3 linked regions of the Oryzias latipes genome follow. The protein of the gene in region 2 purifies or fractionates together with the protein of the main gene of each other region. This does not show direct contact. Links are inferred from orthologs where the notes say so. Each region holds a gene or a part of one and is shown on either strand. Other genes may lie near its edges.

What was found. Proteins that work in one complex are often made in the same cells at the same time.
Region 1: the proteins of sugt1 (region 2) and rnf41 purify together in Homo sapiens (affinity purification with mass spectrometry; 3 studies listed by BioGRID and IntAct, with this or other methods). This does not show direct contact. The link is inferred for Oryzias latipes from reciprocal best matches to the Homo sapiens genes SUGT1 and RNF41.
Region 3: the proteins of sugt1 (region 2) and cep97 purify together in Homo sapiens (affinity purification with mass spectrometry; 3 studies listed by BioGRID and IntAct, with this or other methods). This does not show direct contact. The link is inferred for Oryzias latipes from reciprocal best matches to the Homo sapiens genes SUGT1 and CEP97.

Annotation. Positions count from the first base shown.
Region 1 is NC_019865.2:22,244,966-22,249,931, forward strand, and holds the start of rnf41 (E3 ubiquitin-protein ligase NRDP1), read right to left. Parts: upstream 3,354-4,966; 5' UTR 3,079-3,353; intron 1,403-3,078; 5' UTR 1,383-1,402; coding exon 1,293-1,382; intron 405-1,292; coding exon 133-404; intron 1-132. UniProt on the Homo sapiens protein: Acts as E3 ubiquitin-protein ligase and regulates the degradation of target proteins. Polyubiquitinates MYD88. Negatively regulates MYD88-dependent production of pro-inflammatory cytokines.
Region 2 is NC_019875.2:17,046,767-17,051,466, reverse strand, and holds the start of sugt1 (protein SGT1 homolog), read right to left. Parts: upstream 3,022-4,700; 5' UTR 2,904-3,021; coding exon 2,890-2,903; intron 2,800-2,889; coding exon 2,751-2,799; intron 2,241-2,750; coding exon 2,150-2,240; intron 53-2,149; coding exon 1-52. UniProt on the Homo sapiens protein: May play a role in ubiquitination and subsequent proteasomal degradation of target proteins.
Region 3 is NC_019879.2:10,883,162-10,888,005, forward strand, and holds the start of cep97 (centrosomal protein of 97 kDa), read right to left. Parts: upstream 3,354-4,844; 5' UTR 3,260-3,353; coding exon 3,223-3,259; intron 1,405-3,222; coding exon 1,259-1,404; intron 1,162-1,258; coding exon 1,003-1,161; intron 1-1,002. UniProt on the Homo sapiens protein: Acts as a key negative regulator of ciliogenesis in collaboration with CCP110 by capping the mother centriole thereby preventing cilia formation. Required for recruitment of CCP110 to the centrosome.

The sequences.
Region 1 (4,966 bases), on a different chromosome or scaffold from region 2:
TTTTCCACTGTCTTACCTCTTATTTTTTTTACAAACTATTGAGGATGCACATACATACACACAAAGTCAGAGTCAATCCAAGCAGTACTCATAAAACAGTATCCATTGTGCTGTTGAATGCAAGGCACTTACCCACATCCTTCCTCACAGTTGACAGGCCTTTTGGGGTTGTGCTCACAGTCTTTGAGATGAGACTGTAGCTGGTCCAACCTCAGCGTAGCTGTGCAGCCATAACTGGCATTGTCGCAGTTGATCTGAAGTTTGGACAGCATGTTGCGCATGATCCGGGGCACAGGCCGGAGATGAGCTAGTGTCACCACTGTCCTGTCAACAGGACAGATCTGCTGCTGGGCAAACCACTGTGTTATACAGGCATTACAGAAGGCATGTTCACAGTGTGGAGCCTGAAATGAAGATACAGAACTCACTTAAAATGCTGTGATGCATTCATTCATGAAACCATTAATGTCTACAAATATAAATGAGAAAATACTGCTATACAGTAAACCCTTGTTTTTCGCGGGGGTTACGTTCCAAAAAGACCCCGTGATAGGCAAAATCCGTGAAGTAGAAACCTTTATTTTTTTTAAACTATTATTATACAATTAAATACTCTATTATACATTGAAAAGAAAGAACAAACCAATTTACAGGCTCAAGCATTTGTTTCACAAATAAAAGTACTTTAGAAACCTTTTTTTCAACAAATAACTCTGTACTGTACTGTCAAATAATAATTTTAATGAATGTGAACAGAAGGCTTCAAATCGCGGAGATTAGCCCCGCCCACCGCGACCCGAGTATTGGATTAAACGGGAGAAAATTTAAAATGATTATGAAAAAAATACAAAGTACAGTGGGACAAATAGTGACTCAGGTGTATTTCACTGCTCTTCAGACTGAGCCGCTGCATCCTGACTCAGCTCTGCAGTGTTTTCTTCTTTTGAAGCCCGCGGTGCAGCTGTGTTTGTTCGGGAGAAGAACATAGTGATAGGCAGTTGTTGTCGCTCTTTTTTCTGCTTTGCAAAAAGATCCTTATACACCGACTTGCCACCATCAAGAGAATTTGCACGTAGTAATGAAAATTTGGCAAGCTGATTTACGTACGTGCACATATTAAACTGCAACGTTATTGACGCACAGGTAGAGAAGAAGCGGAGTGACTTTTTAGCCAATCAGAATGCAGAACACAATGCACCATGCAAATCCGTGAAGTAGCGAAACCGTGAAAAGCAAACCGCGTTATAGCAAGGGATCACTGTATATCCAATTCCTTGTAAAAGTAAACTTGCCTGCACTGGTTCTTCCAACACTCCACTGCAAATAGGACAGAGGAGGTCTTCATCCACCTCACCCTGGAACCTCGTAACATCGTACCCCATGGTACACTACCCACAACCTCCTGAGCATCAACAACAGGTAGCACACAAACAAACAGTAAAATGTCAGTACTTCAAACGGTTGTGATGCACAAAGAAGGAAACAACACAATTGTATTAATACATGTCAATTAATACAATTTTACACTTTAAATTTCAGCATTTAAATGGGAATGATTAATTATATGTAATTTCAATGACTTTAGACTTTCAAATCATTTAGTAATATCTTCATTTACATAAAATAAGTGCTGAAATGGATGTATAAAAGTAGGGCATACTGAGATTTTACCCTTTACACAATTGTTTAAAAACATAAACAAATGGATTTATTTTGTACAACAAAAAAAACATCTACTTCATGTGACCGCATAAAACTGCTTTAGTCAAGGTCTCACAGGGATTTAACTAAGAACAAGAAGTCTGAAAACATCAGTCAGCAAGCTGAAGAAAATTACAACAGCAAGTAATTAAACTGTTTGAGCCCAAATCTGTGCAAAAATGTGTCCATCACCCTTGTTGAGGTTAGTCATCTGAGCTACTAAAATGAAAAGCACAACAGTTTCATGGGAAAAAAAATCTTCAACAAGAAGCTTTGTGGTTTTGGACTACTTAAAAAGCATTGTGTTCATATTTTTCCATGCCATTCATACAATAAAATTACCAAACTTGCAAAAAGGAGAAAAGGGTGAAAACATTATTTCTCTGCATGAGTTACTTTAGTTAAAAAAATGCTTAGTACCTCTTAAATATCTCTCTCTATATATATATCTATCTCTCTCTCTCTCTATATATATTTTTTTTTTAAAGAAAGTAAAACTATACCTATACCTATACAGCTATTTGCTCGTTAATGCTAAAATCTGGCAAATAAATAAATAAAGACCAATGTTAATCAAAAACTTGATGTAAAGTTGTTTGTTATTTGTTTAATTTAGCTTTTTGGGACAAAAAGCATTGAAATAAATTCCCATGTTTGCTGACATATTTAAATAGCTGTGATTTAAAAGAACCCCCAGAAAATCAACTCTTTCCCAGAATTACTGTGTCAAGAACAGATAATATAAGGGGTTTAAGAGCTTTATTTAACCATATATGAAAAGACAAACTATTCGAGACAAAAAAAAATAGCCTACGTGATAACAGTTCTGCTGATGCGCAGCATAAAAAAGCGGTGCCCTTGAGCCGAAGTTGTGTTATTTTTCAGCCGCATCTCATCGGCATCCACATTTATACTGGGTTAAAATCTGAGGATTGGATTTCAATATCTGAGTACTTTCCAAATAGGATACTGACACCAATTCGGTTCGAGTTAGATTCACCTGACAATTCGATTTTAGCATCATTAAACGATAGCTTTAGCAAAAGTTAGCGTACCGCTAAAGCTAGTGTTAGCTACGTGGAGCTCTTTTCCCTTTGACAGTTTACTAATATATAATGTTAAACTATTTTACACAAACACATAAAAGTAAATAACAAATTTAGTGTTTCTTCAGAAAGAAAAATTAACACATGTCACGGGTTATTAGGAACTGACTTATGTCAAATATAGGTATAGGGTTAGCATCTACCAAAACAGTGGTTTTCATGAATGTTAGCACTCAAGCTAACCCGACGGATCTCAGATAGCACAAATATTTATGAAAGCGACTTTAATAAAAAACACTATGAGAAAAATAAAATTCACTACTATACTTACTTAGGCATGAAGCAAAACAGGTCCTTGTCAGGTTTACAAATGTTTAAAAACGTTGTACCTTCGCTAGCAATGTGCTAGCCACGTCTTGCTACATCCTACACTTGAACGTTGGCAGGAAGAGGAGGACTCTACCACAGGTTCTGAAGGTCTATGTCATTCTGTTCTTCAAATCAAACAGTTGATAATATTCCAATGGGGTTTAATGATCACTTTTCCTTTAGCCTGTTATATATGTTATGAAAGATGTGTTCGAAATGAGATTGAAAAACGGAATAGATTTTTGCCGCTGTCCCCTATTCTTGTTTGTAAATTGGTCTATTCCATAGTCTTCGTGCTGTCGAGGACCGATTACGTTTTTTATGTGTTAATTTAACCTTTATTTAACCATATAGAGAAACAGTTATACTTTAAAATGACCACCCAGATGTATTTAGGCATGTTTTTAGAAAACCAGAAAGCGATTACATTCTAAGGATTTTGACACACAATAAAAACTTTTTTCCCAGGAAATATTTTAGTTTTTACAGTATATTATTTTTATTTTGTTTTGTGTAGTTTAATTTGATAGAAATAATTGAAGATATTTCTTTTTGTTTTTAAACTTTTTTCTATCTTGGAAATGTCAGTTACTGTACTTTCTTTGTTCATCTGCCTTTTTCATGAAGTAATGGAACATTTTCTGACATATTTTTTTTATCATGTTAATAACATTATGCCCTGCATACATAGTAAACTTTAACAAAACTTTTCATGATTCTTTACCCAAAGGAAACAGCAGAAAGGAACATGTGAGCCATTGTAAATACAGAGTGTGGGTTCCAGACCATGAACATTTTTCTAAATTCTGCTGCTGGTGATTTGAATGATTGAAATGTCAAAAGACAGAAAACAATTAATTTAATAAACAGGAACCTCAGTAGTCAGCTACAACAGCCTCAGTCGCCACCGGTCCCCAGTTTGGTTACACACTCCTGTGTAATGGCGTCCCATTTTTCATCCAGCGTTTGTTGCAAGTCCAACATTGTTGCTGCATTAGTCACTCCTGCATAAAAAAATAAAAATCACACCCAAAATTGTTCCCTAAATTTAACACTTTGATTGACTTGAAGGCAGAATTGTCAGCAAGGTATTCGACTCTTCCCACTTCCAAATTCAGAAAGTAACATCCATCTACAGTGAGCGGCGGTTTGGCCATCTTTACAGGTTAAATCCTGTGGAGAATTATCTCTGGTTGCAGAATCTCATATTTTTCTTAATTGTGATTAGCTGTTTGCCAAGACAACTGCTGGTCTTATTGCCCTGCAAACATCAACTGCAAATCTGTAAAAAAAAAAAAAAAAAAAAATAGTGCAAATGAGAAGAAAAGGTGTCCTTAGGCTGTCTTCTTGGGACATTGACTTTTTTAGCCCATCTCTGACATTTATTGTTATAAAGTAATAATCTTAGCCTTCAATTTGGAAATGGAAAAAGAAATTATCTTCAACAAATACTGGGATTTAGTTTTGTAAAACACCACTCTGTAGTTGCCCTATTCCATAGGCCAACCCAAAGTAGGTCAATCAGTTGTTAGCAGCAACTGGGAGTACCTACATCTCAGAACAAGAGTTAAAAAATAAAAAACACATTAAAGGCTGCTTGAAATTGTCATTTTTTTATGTATACATTGTATTATCTCACCATTTGTTCTAAGTGAAGTATGCAATACTAAATTTTTTTGTACATTTGAGGCATCTGCTATTCCATACCAGTAGATTTTTATGATGAAAAAAAAAATATTAAAAATAGCATTACATATTAAAAGTATGAGCAAATGCAGTGTGGCATCTGAAAACTTAAGTGATGCAGATATTAAAGGTTTTTGTTGCTTATTTTTAGTTACATATTAGTC
Region 2 (4,700 bases):
AGTGGATGACTGGGCTTTAGCTGCTGGGCTTTCTTAGCATCCTCAACAGCACCTGTGGAGAAAAGCAGACGTATTGGGAAGACTTCACACTCATTCATCCTCATTACCAACTCATATTAACGGATGATTAATAACGAATAACTGTTTGGAGCTACTACTTTATCTGTCATAGGATACCCCAAAATCTTACATTGTCTAAACTTCCATCATTTTAGGTTTTACTTAAAGCTTTAGTGGTAACAGCTTTGTGGAATGAAGCAAAAATATCTGCTTTAACTTAAGGTTTCAAAAGAGTCAATGCAACCAAGCAGCCCAACTAACACTGACAAGATGCACCAAAGGAAAGCCAGTACTTTCTGTCGCAGCTTTCTTCCATTTCCCATGATTTCCTTCCATCCATCCACCTTCAGAACCTACTGAATCCTTTAGCTGTCACGGGGCTGCTGGAGCCTAACCCAGCAATTGTTGGGAGAAGGCGGGGTACACCCTGAACAGGTCGCCAGTCTGTTGCTGGGCCACACAATCACACACACACACTCACATGCACAACTAGAGACAATTTAGAATAATCAATGAACCTATGAAACATGTTCTTGGACTGTGGGAGGAAGCCAGAGCGCCCAGAGAAACCCCATGATTGTGCTTGCAGAACATCCAAATTCCCCACAGAAAGAACCCAGCAGGTTAGTGCTGTGAGGCCAGAGTGCTGACCACTAGGCCACCATGCAGGCCTCCCATGCTATCACATTTCTAATGATAATATAATCATTTTCAATTAAGCACAATTATAGACCCATAAACAGTAGCCAGGAAACTTCCAGCTAAAAACAACAACAAAACCTTTTTCCTACATCGAAACCCTAAATTCATGGAGAGTATAAGTTGAAGTATTCGCAGTTCTTGAATGAAATTTACAATTTAAACTTTATTCATTGACTGATCAACTTTGTGAAAACATTTGTGGTGCTGTTTGCAGCCAGGTGGGGCAAAATGTGATCTACTCAGCTGCTGTTCGATTGCAGAACAAAAAGTGAATAGAGGTCAAAATCAATGCCAAGAACAGTCAGAGAAGGAGGTCTTGTGGGCATCCACAGGGTCACTATGGGAAAAACCTTGGCAAAAACTGACTCCAGGGGGATCAGAGGAGGACATAGAGGGGCAGCATTGGAGAAAACAATGTAACAAACTAATAAATAAATAAATAAATAAATAAGGAAAGGCATTTATCTGGCAATAACGCTTTTTTGAACTCTAAAGTAGGGGAAATTTTGAATATTACAATCTTTCTTCTCTAATACGTCATACAAACAATAGCTTCATGAAGAACAAGTAACATCACTTTAAGCAGAATTATGCCCATATAGAAGGTCATGGTGTTTCATTTGTTCAACTGCACAATGTGAAAAGAAAAGCTTAAATTAAAGCAGTCTCATATTTTGGTCATAAACATGTTTGGAGATATTATTTTCCTTTTTGTCTGTCTGCTCCTCTCTTTAAGAGTCGCCTCTGTGAATCCTCTGCATCATTCTAATCCTCTTTGCTCACACCAACCACCCTATGTCCTCCTCCTTATTCTCCCTTGGGACTTCCTTCCAGGTATCTCCATTTTGGTAAAAGGATACTGAACAAGACCAAACCACCTCAGTCTGTTCCCCTGCATTCAACTTTTCAACATCTAACATGAGCCAATCCTCTGATGTATTCTCAAAATGCTCACAGTGATGACGGTAAAGCCGTTAAGATTCCACATTAAGGAGAGGAGCCTTCCTCTGCATTTTAACAAAGAAACAGAATTACATCAAAGATGGAAAAATGCATCTGGTGCCTGAAAGTGTGAATCATTACGAGTCAATAAGATTTACACAAAGATCCTGGTCCGAGGAAAATACATAAACACATTTGTTTTTATTGAAATATGGTTTTCCTTAATGAAAATTCCAAATGCCACAGCAGGCATGTTTGAATTCCCTGCAGCGAATAGAAATTTTTGTAGTTCAGTGATTGCTTTTCCCAAATTTGTCCTCATTAAAAGATCAACTACCCAGATTTTGATTCAACAGTGTGACTTCAGAATCATGGTACACATCAATTAGTTCCTTTGGCGACATTGGGGGTAAAAACTGGGAATATGATGTCAACTTTAACTTACAGCTGTAGTTCTTTAGAAGAATGTGGGCATAGGCCCGTTGACAGAACCACTCAGCGTTGTCAGACTCTCCCTGTAAGGCCTCATTCAGAGCCTGAAAGTAAAATATACATAAGAAAGTAAAGTCAATATACTTGATTTCTGCACGACGGAAACAAGTTGTTGAAGAAATAGCGTCGCTGCAAGTGTATATTATAAATTAACCAACATAACAGGTTAATTGATACACAGACAGTAACACAAAAAGAAGGGAAAAAAACAAGTTAATAACGTTACAAACTATTTTAACACATGAAAACGGTTTAATTATAACAAATAAAATATGTGATGGTTTTAAACAAGACCATAACATAGAAAAAAATATTCAATAAATGCGTCTTTTACACTTTCATTTTCAAAATAAGACTTATACAGTAACGTGGCTGAACTTGCTAGCTACATATCGTTAAACGTTGAGACGTAACGTCAGGAGTTACAAGCCCGACCCATCTCCACCAGTTCTGTTACGAATAAATCAAAAGTATGAAATGGTCTCTAATCTGATACACAAACACCCCAAAACACAGGCTACAGGTTACGTGTTGCTAGCAATGCTAACGTTTACCTCAAGGGCTTTGCGTGGATCTTCATCAATGAAGCTATCAGGGAAGCTGCTAAAGAAAGCCGACAGAGACCAAGCGTTAACAAGCTAAATAACACATAAAAAAGCAGATATACAATTGGATATACGGAGGAGGACTGACCGTTCAGCTGCCATGAATGCAGTAACCTGACGGGCTGTACGTTCAGAGTGGCAGGAAACTTCTAGACGTAGATGCTACTAGAAACGGAACCTTTGGTTTGTCAACATCCGGTGGCAGACTGGTGCTCCTCCCCCTTCAAAAAGGAGCACAATCAATGGTTCCTACTTAAAAATCCATTATCACCTGCTTATAAACATTCCCTTCTTTATTTAATTTTAAATGTTTGTGACCTCGTACAACAACTACTGAAAATTTATTAATGACTTTACTTTGATAATCAGCATGAAACACAATACTTTAGTTAGATAAGGCTTTATTTGATCTTTATTGAAGGACAAAATAGTAAATTAATAAATTAAGTCTGTTTTATTAAATAACAGTCTAATCAGTTAGTGAAGGAGGGTCTAAAGGCAGGGATGTCCAGTTTAGTTTAGTTAGTTCAATTTGGTATTTCACTATTGAATTCTATTCATGATCCTTTTGATTTTATGTTTTACTTTTTCAATTACTGATACGAAGCCCATCAAGACGACTGTTGTTGTTAAATTTGGGCTATACAAATAAAATTGAACTGAACTGAATATCTCATTCTGTGTTCTTGTGGGTTAAAATTGACCAATTTGATAAATTGCTACAGCAGTGACCCTTCCTCTCCTTACACACTATAATGAAAGAATATCATTACTCATATTAAAGTGTCAACATTTCTACAAATTCTTCAAGATAAAACAGCCACTCTCCTCACTAGAAGTTCAACAAATGGGAATGAAAAAAAAAGAAAGAGGAAAAACGTTTGACATAGAAATTTATTTTATATACCATTTCTGGACAGCCTGAACACAAACACACACAAAAGTAAAGCAAAAAGATCTCAAGCTCACAATCAAATATGAGCTTCTCAAAAACAGTAAAACAGCATCGAGAGACTTTAGATAGGTCAAAGGAAGGAGCATCTGAGATAAATGGCTTAATAATGTGAAGAAATTTGCATAGGGACTCCCAGCAGGCAAAAGGCACAATTATTGTATAAGCATGTCTTTACCAAGTTTGGCCAGACAACACCAGCCTGACATTCAAAGTGTTCTTTGTTTTGAGGATAAGTGAACTTTGCAGGCTGGTTTTGCAAAATAAGACACAAGTCAGGGAAAGAGTAAACACTTAGCCAAAAAGATTTTCTAATTAGAAACCAGAAATGTTACTCCCTGCAAAGAGGAAAAAGTCTGCAGCACCAAAAAAGTACTTAACCTGAGGAAGAAAGTGGCAGCAAAGAACAAGCACTTTCACAAATATACAGTATATGACATTTAACATGTATAGATATTGAGGATTTAGAGTTCCGCATATGATCTATATACGTGCAACAAAAAACATGTGCAATAAGGAAAGGCTATATATACCGGTATTTGGAATATGAAATAATCAGAGAAAACGTGGACAGAAGACCACTTGATGGTGATTGTCAACAACAAAAGGCAGATCCACTTAACATTCAACAACAGCAGTGCTCATTTACGTTTCTTGAAACAACAGTGATTCCCTTCTTTTCAAAACGTTCACATAATATAAAAAAATAAAATAAAATGGAATGTTTCCCTCAATAAATTCATGATTCACATGAATGAAGAAAGCAGGAGGCGAGACGGAAACTACAGGCACTTTAAGGCAAAATTCAAACAAAATTTTAGTGCAAAACCACTTTGAAGGCAAAGGAATGATTCAGGGGGACGCCGGTACAAATGGCAAAGGCAGATAGAAGGGCACAGTGTGGGCGTCAGATCAGTATCTCAAAGACAGTGCAGCAGAAAGGCAAG
Region 3 (4,844 bases), on a different chromosome or scaffold from region 2:
AAGTAAAACAGTGTAAAATAAAAATGCTGTGTCAAAGGCCTGACTATAAAAATGTGTTTTTTTGTTTTTTTTTCCCCAAATGAGGACAGTGAGGATCCCTGCTGCACTCAGTAACACGTTCCACAGCTTCGGTGCACATAGTGAAAACGCTCGTTCCAGTCTGAGCTTCTTCCTGACCTCAGCACGTCCAAGAGAGGCTGACCTGACACCAAGCTGGGGTTTAGGGAGAAGCTCAGACAGGTATGAAGGTACGATTATTTAAAGATTTCAAAACAGAATCTTAAATGAGCTCTAAAACCACAGGCAGACAGTGAAAGGTAGCTAGGATGTGGCTCCAACCAGAACATGAGCAGCAGCGTACCGGACACGCGAGACGGACGACTGGCTGACTCCAAAATAAAGAGAATTCCAGTAATCCAGCCCAGATGTAATGAAGGCTGGAGGAAGCAAAATAAAAGAAACCTTTGCCTTTGAAATTATTTCCCAAAAAATTTACTATGATTCTCTAAAATGAAAAAAATGTCCTTTGTTTATTAAATAGATTGAGATTTCTCTCGTGTTGTAGCTGAATCTGTATTTTATCTGACCATAGCTTCAAATGTCAATTAAAAACTTACCTTTTTAGAATGTTTTTTTATGCTCAGGTGGCATTTTCTTTTCTTTTATTTATTCTTATTTATCTTTGATGTATTTTATTGCTAAAAACGTTTTGTAAGTTTATGCTGTTTTTAAATTTGTCCTTGATTTGCCTGATTTTAAACATTTTTTTTGTCTGTTTCTTTTATTATGAAGCACTTTGGTACACTTGTACACTTTGGTAAGCATCAATAAATACTGAAAATGTCTGCGTAAACTGTGACCCCTTGAGTGGCAGTCAACTAAAAAGTTTTAATGAAAACCACTGATTTATTTGAACCAATTGAGGAATGCTTCAATTCTTTTCCATTTTTGTTCTGGATGAGAGGTTCTTCTGGTTTGTAGAAATCCCTCCCGTCTCCTCACCTTTATGTTGTTTCCGGAAAGGTTTAGCCATTTCAGATGAGGCAGATCGCGCAGTCCTTCAATGTAGCCGATGCTGTTGTTGGGCAGATTGAGGACCCTCAGCTGCATCAGCTGAGACACCCCCATCATTCTGACCAGACGGTTGTTTGCTACGGATAGCTGAATTAGTGACAACAAGGAGTTTGCATCAAAACCACAGAGCGGGAACGTGTTTGTTCATCTGTCATCAGACTAGAACCACTCTCAAAAATGTGACCTGCTGAAGGCTGGGGCTTCGTTCCAGATTATCCAGCTTCATGATTTTATTGCGGTCCAAGATGAGAGTGTGAGTGTCGTCAGAACTGATGAAACTGGGATCCAGCTTCTGCACCCCCCGACCTGTCAGATCCACCACGGGTCCTGCTGGTTTAGGAGTCAGAAGACAAAACACTTGGATTTCTCTTTTCGTACATAAAAGCATTTCACACTGGTTTACAGAAAGAACAAAGAGTTGGCATTATATTAAAAAAAAAAATGTCACAAATGTACCATTAATGAAACAGAAAGAAAGCAGCACTTTAACTAAAAATCGTTGAAGAACATTCAAGTTCATCAGACATCTTGCTTCAATCTGTGTGTAGCTTCACCTTTGACTCAAAGGTCTACCTACCACCTGATTGGTTCCAGAGCTTTGTTGGGTTTGTGAGCCCTGAGCAGATCTGACTCTATGCTATCTCTAATAGTCTTTATTGAAAGAGCAGACAGAACTGTTATATTGGTCCAGCCTGAAGGACATGAAGACACCAAACAGCTTCTCTTAATCTTGTCTGAATGTGAAATCTCTGAGTTTCCCTGTGTGTTGACCTGATCTATTTGTAGCCTTGTTGATCCACTTCAAAGAAAAAATGGTGTTTTGGGTGTTTTTTTTTCCTGATGAGGCAGGACAATTATGAAGGAAATTAAGCTTCAAATTGCAATTCTGAGTATATTTCATTCAAATCATTTTGAATCAGGAGCAAATGATAAATGCTCTTTATAAAAACTTGTGTTGTGACGTGGAGCCTACAACGGCAAGTTACAGGCTTCCTGCTGCGCTCCATTCTGATACCTCTACTTGTGGACAAATAGATTCATCTACGTCTTTGTTTTCCTCGTCTGAGCTGGACTTTGAATCAAAACTACAGTATATGACTGGATAGCTCCCATGTTGCTTGCCATTTTTGTTACGCCAGTAATTTGGGTTGGGGTTGTGCGGGGCTGTAAGCTAGCGGGAAAGGGTGTAAACAGATGGGTGATGGGAAGTGGCAATGGGCTTACTCCACACCAACAGTCCCGCCCACATCTACTGATGCTCTGCAGAAACTATGTCCTAGAAGATGACACAGGTTTATTGACTTTTCCTAAAAATGACATAATCATAATTAAAAGTACTGGAAATGCTTTGAAACGTGACCGAAAGATGATCGGAGAGCTACTTTAATGTAAATAATAGCAATTTAAAGTGGATTCTACACCAACGTTGTCATGTTTATATTCGACGGTAAAAGGATGATTATGCATCAAAGTCATGATGTCAGAAAATCCCATGTTTGACTTGACCTTTTTTTTACATTTTTAATTAAAGTGAATGTCCTAAAGCAGCAGGAGAATCTTATTCGACGCAGTATGTATTTTATTTTGAAAAGAACATTTAAGTGCTGCTGTTAAAAGTAAAAGTAATTCACATTGAATGAATAGTAAAACAGAACACTGGTAAAATTCAATTACTGTATTGCAAATCTTTAAAAGCTACTTTTTAAATTAATAGTTTTTTTTGTGCATTTAAGTTGGGTGTATGTATTCTATGGCCACCAGGTTCACTTCATGATGGATCAAGGCTTTAACTGACAACCTGCGTTGGCCAACTCAGCCACTGCAACTGTAACTGATGCTGCTGACATCACAACATCTTTAAGATAACAGTCAATTGTGAGGAGGAAAGAATTAGAGTTAGGTTTGAAAAGAAAACTAGTTTACAGTACAGATGTTCCACACAAGTCTGCCAATATGTCCAGTTTGATGATCAAACTAGCTAACAACCACCAGATATTTCAACTTAAAGAGTCAATGAAGAAAAGTCACGGGACGTTTGCTGAGCTAAAAACGGTCAAGAGCGCTAAACGACTAGATTTAACACACGTACGATACAAACATTACAAACTGAATGGGTTCACCTGGCTATAAAACCATAAAGAAACTCACCAGCGTTCGTATCAAAGTGTAAATCTGATACACCCATCCTGCCGGGCTAGCTAGCTTTCACCGAGCGTTAGCTAACTCTAACTGTCAGACACACAAGAGGCGCCTGTCGGCTGTCACAGGGTGAAATGCTTTCTGGGAAATGTAGTTACCTGTCTGGCCTGCAAGTCTCTCTCCCGATTATCTTTTGATCTATAAAGCGCTCCCAATGGTCTTTTTATCATGATTATGCCGTTATTACCCCCCCCCCCCCCAAATAAATAAATAAATAAACAAAATTAACAAGCAAACACACAAAAAAGCCTCAACATTGTTGTTTTCTAGAACACTGCGGAGCAGCAGGAATTTATTAGAAATTCACCTCTGAATTGTTGGCGGGACTCATCTGCCACCTTTAACGCTAAAAGAGCCATGTAGTCTAGCTCATTACTGACCAAAAAACTGCAAAGTCCAACTTCACCGTTTGGGAAAATAGTCTTTTTTATTTAAAAAGGTTTCCGTGGTCATTAAACCTTTTATTTATAAAGTGTTGCTTTTAATACAATAATTAAATTATAACCGTGTTCTATGTTTCTTTCTATACCAATTTGAATTAATTTTACCATAAACTACAGCAAAATAAAATGCATACTGCATCGAACAACTAGTTAATCTATTTTTTTTTCAAGTCCAAGCATTTTCTTTAAAACCAAAGAGCCACACATGGCTCCTTAGCCTCAGGTTGGAGACTCTTGATTTAAATGCTCCCCTTCTAGCTTACAGCTCTTCACAACCCAAACCTAACATTGACTGACAGTAAATAGTTTTTTTAAAATGATCGTTCCACAGCTTGACAACATTCCAGATAGTTATCAGACATTTTAGTTTAGTCTTTTATCTACATTGCATTGTCATTTTTAAATAGAAACATTAAACTTCTCTCATGTTATGTCTTTTATGTTTCCAAAAGGATTCCTGCGTTGAAGTGAGATTAGAATGGAACCTCACTCTGTTTACTTAGATGTAAGGCCAGATGACATGGTCAAAGAATATTTTTTTTTTTTCATTCATTTTTCAAAAGCAAAGATAAATTAAAGTTATGTCTGTGGTTTGTATCAACATAAAACTAACAGAGCAGATGACCTCAGACACGTGCAGACTCAGCAGAGCCATCTGAGAACGAAACACAAGAACTTCATTTTGCTGCCTTTCTGGTTCCCTCTGATATTTGACAGCCAGCCAGAGACAATGAAAAAGACTGCACCTGACTTTGGACTTTGAATTTGAAGTTAACCATTGAATGAAGCGCAGTGACTCCAAAAGGTATTAAGCAGGTTCAGAAGATGGATGAATGGCATTGGATGAAAGACCTACAGCTACAGGTGAACACAAAAAAACCACTCTATAATCTGCAACTGTCATGGCTGTGCTGTGAGCTTGTTAACAAAACCCCAGAGAGTTTCATTGTACATTTAGTGAGTGTTAAAAAATGTTTCAGTGACAATGCTTAATACTTTTTTAAAATTAGCTTTAGTTTAAAAAGATGCAACACATAGGTTTTTTCTGCACTTAAAACTTAAAAATATACACTGAAAAGATAACTGTGAAGATGTTTTATCAATGATGGTGATACTGGTATGGAAGTT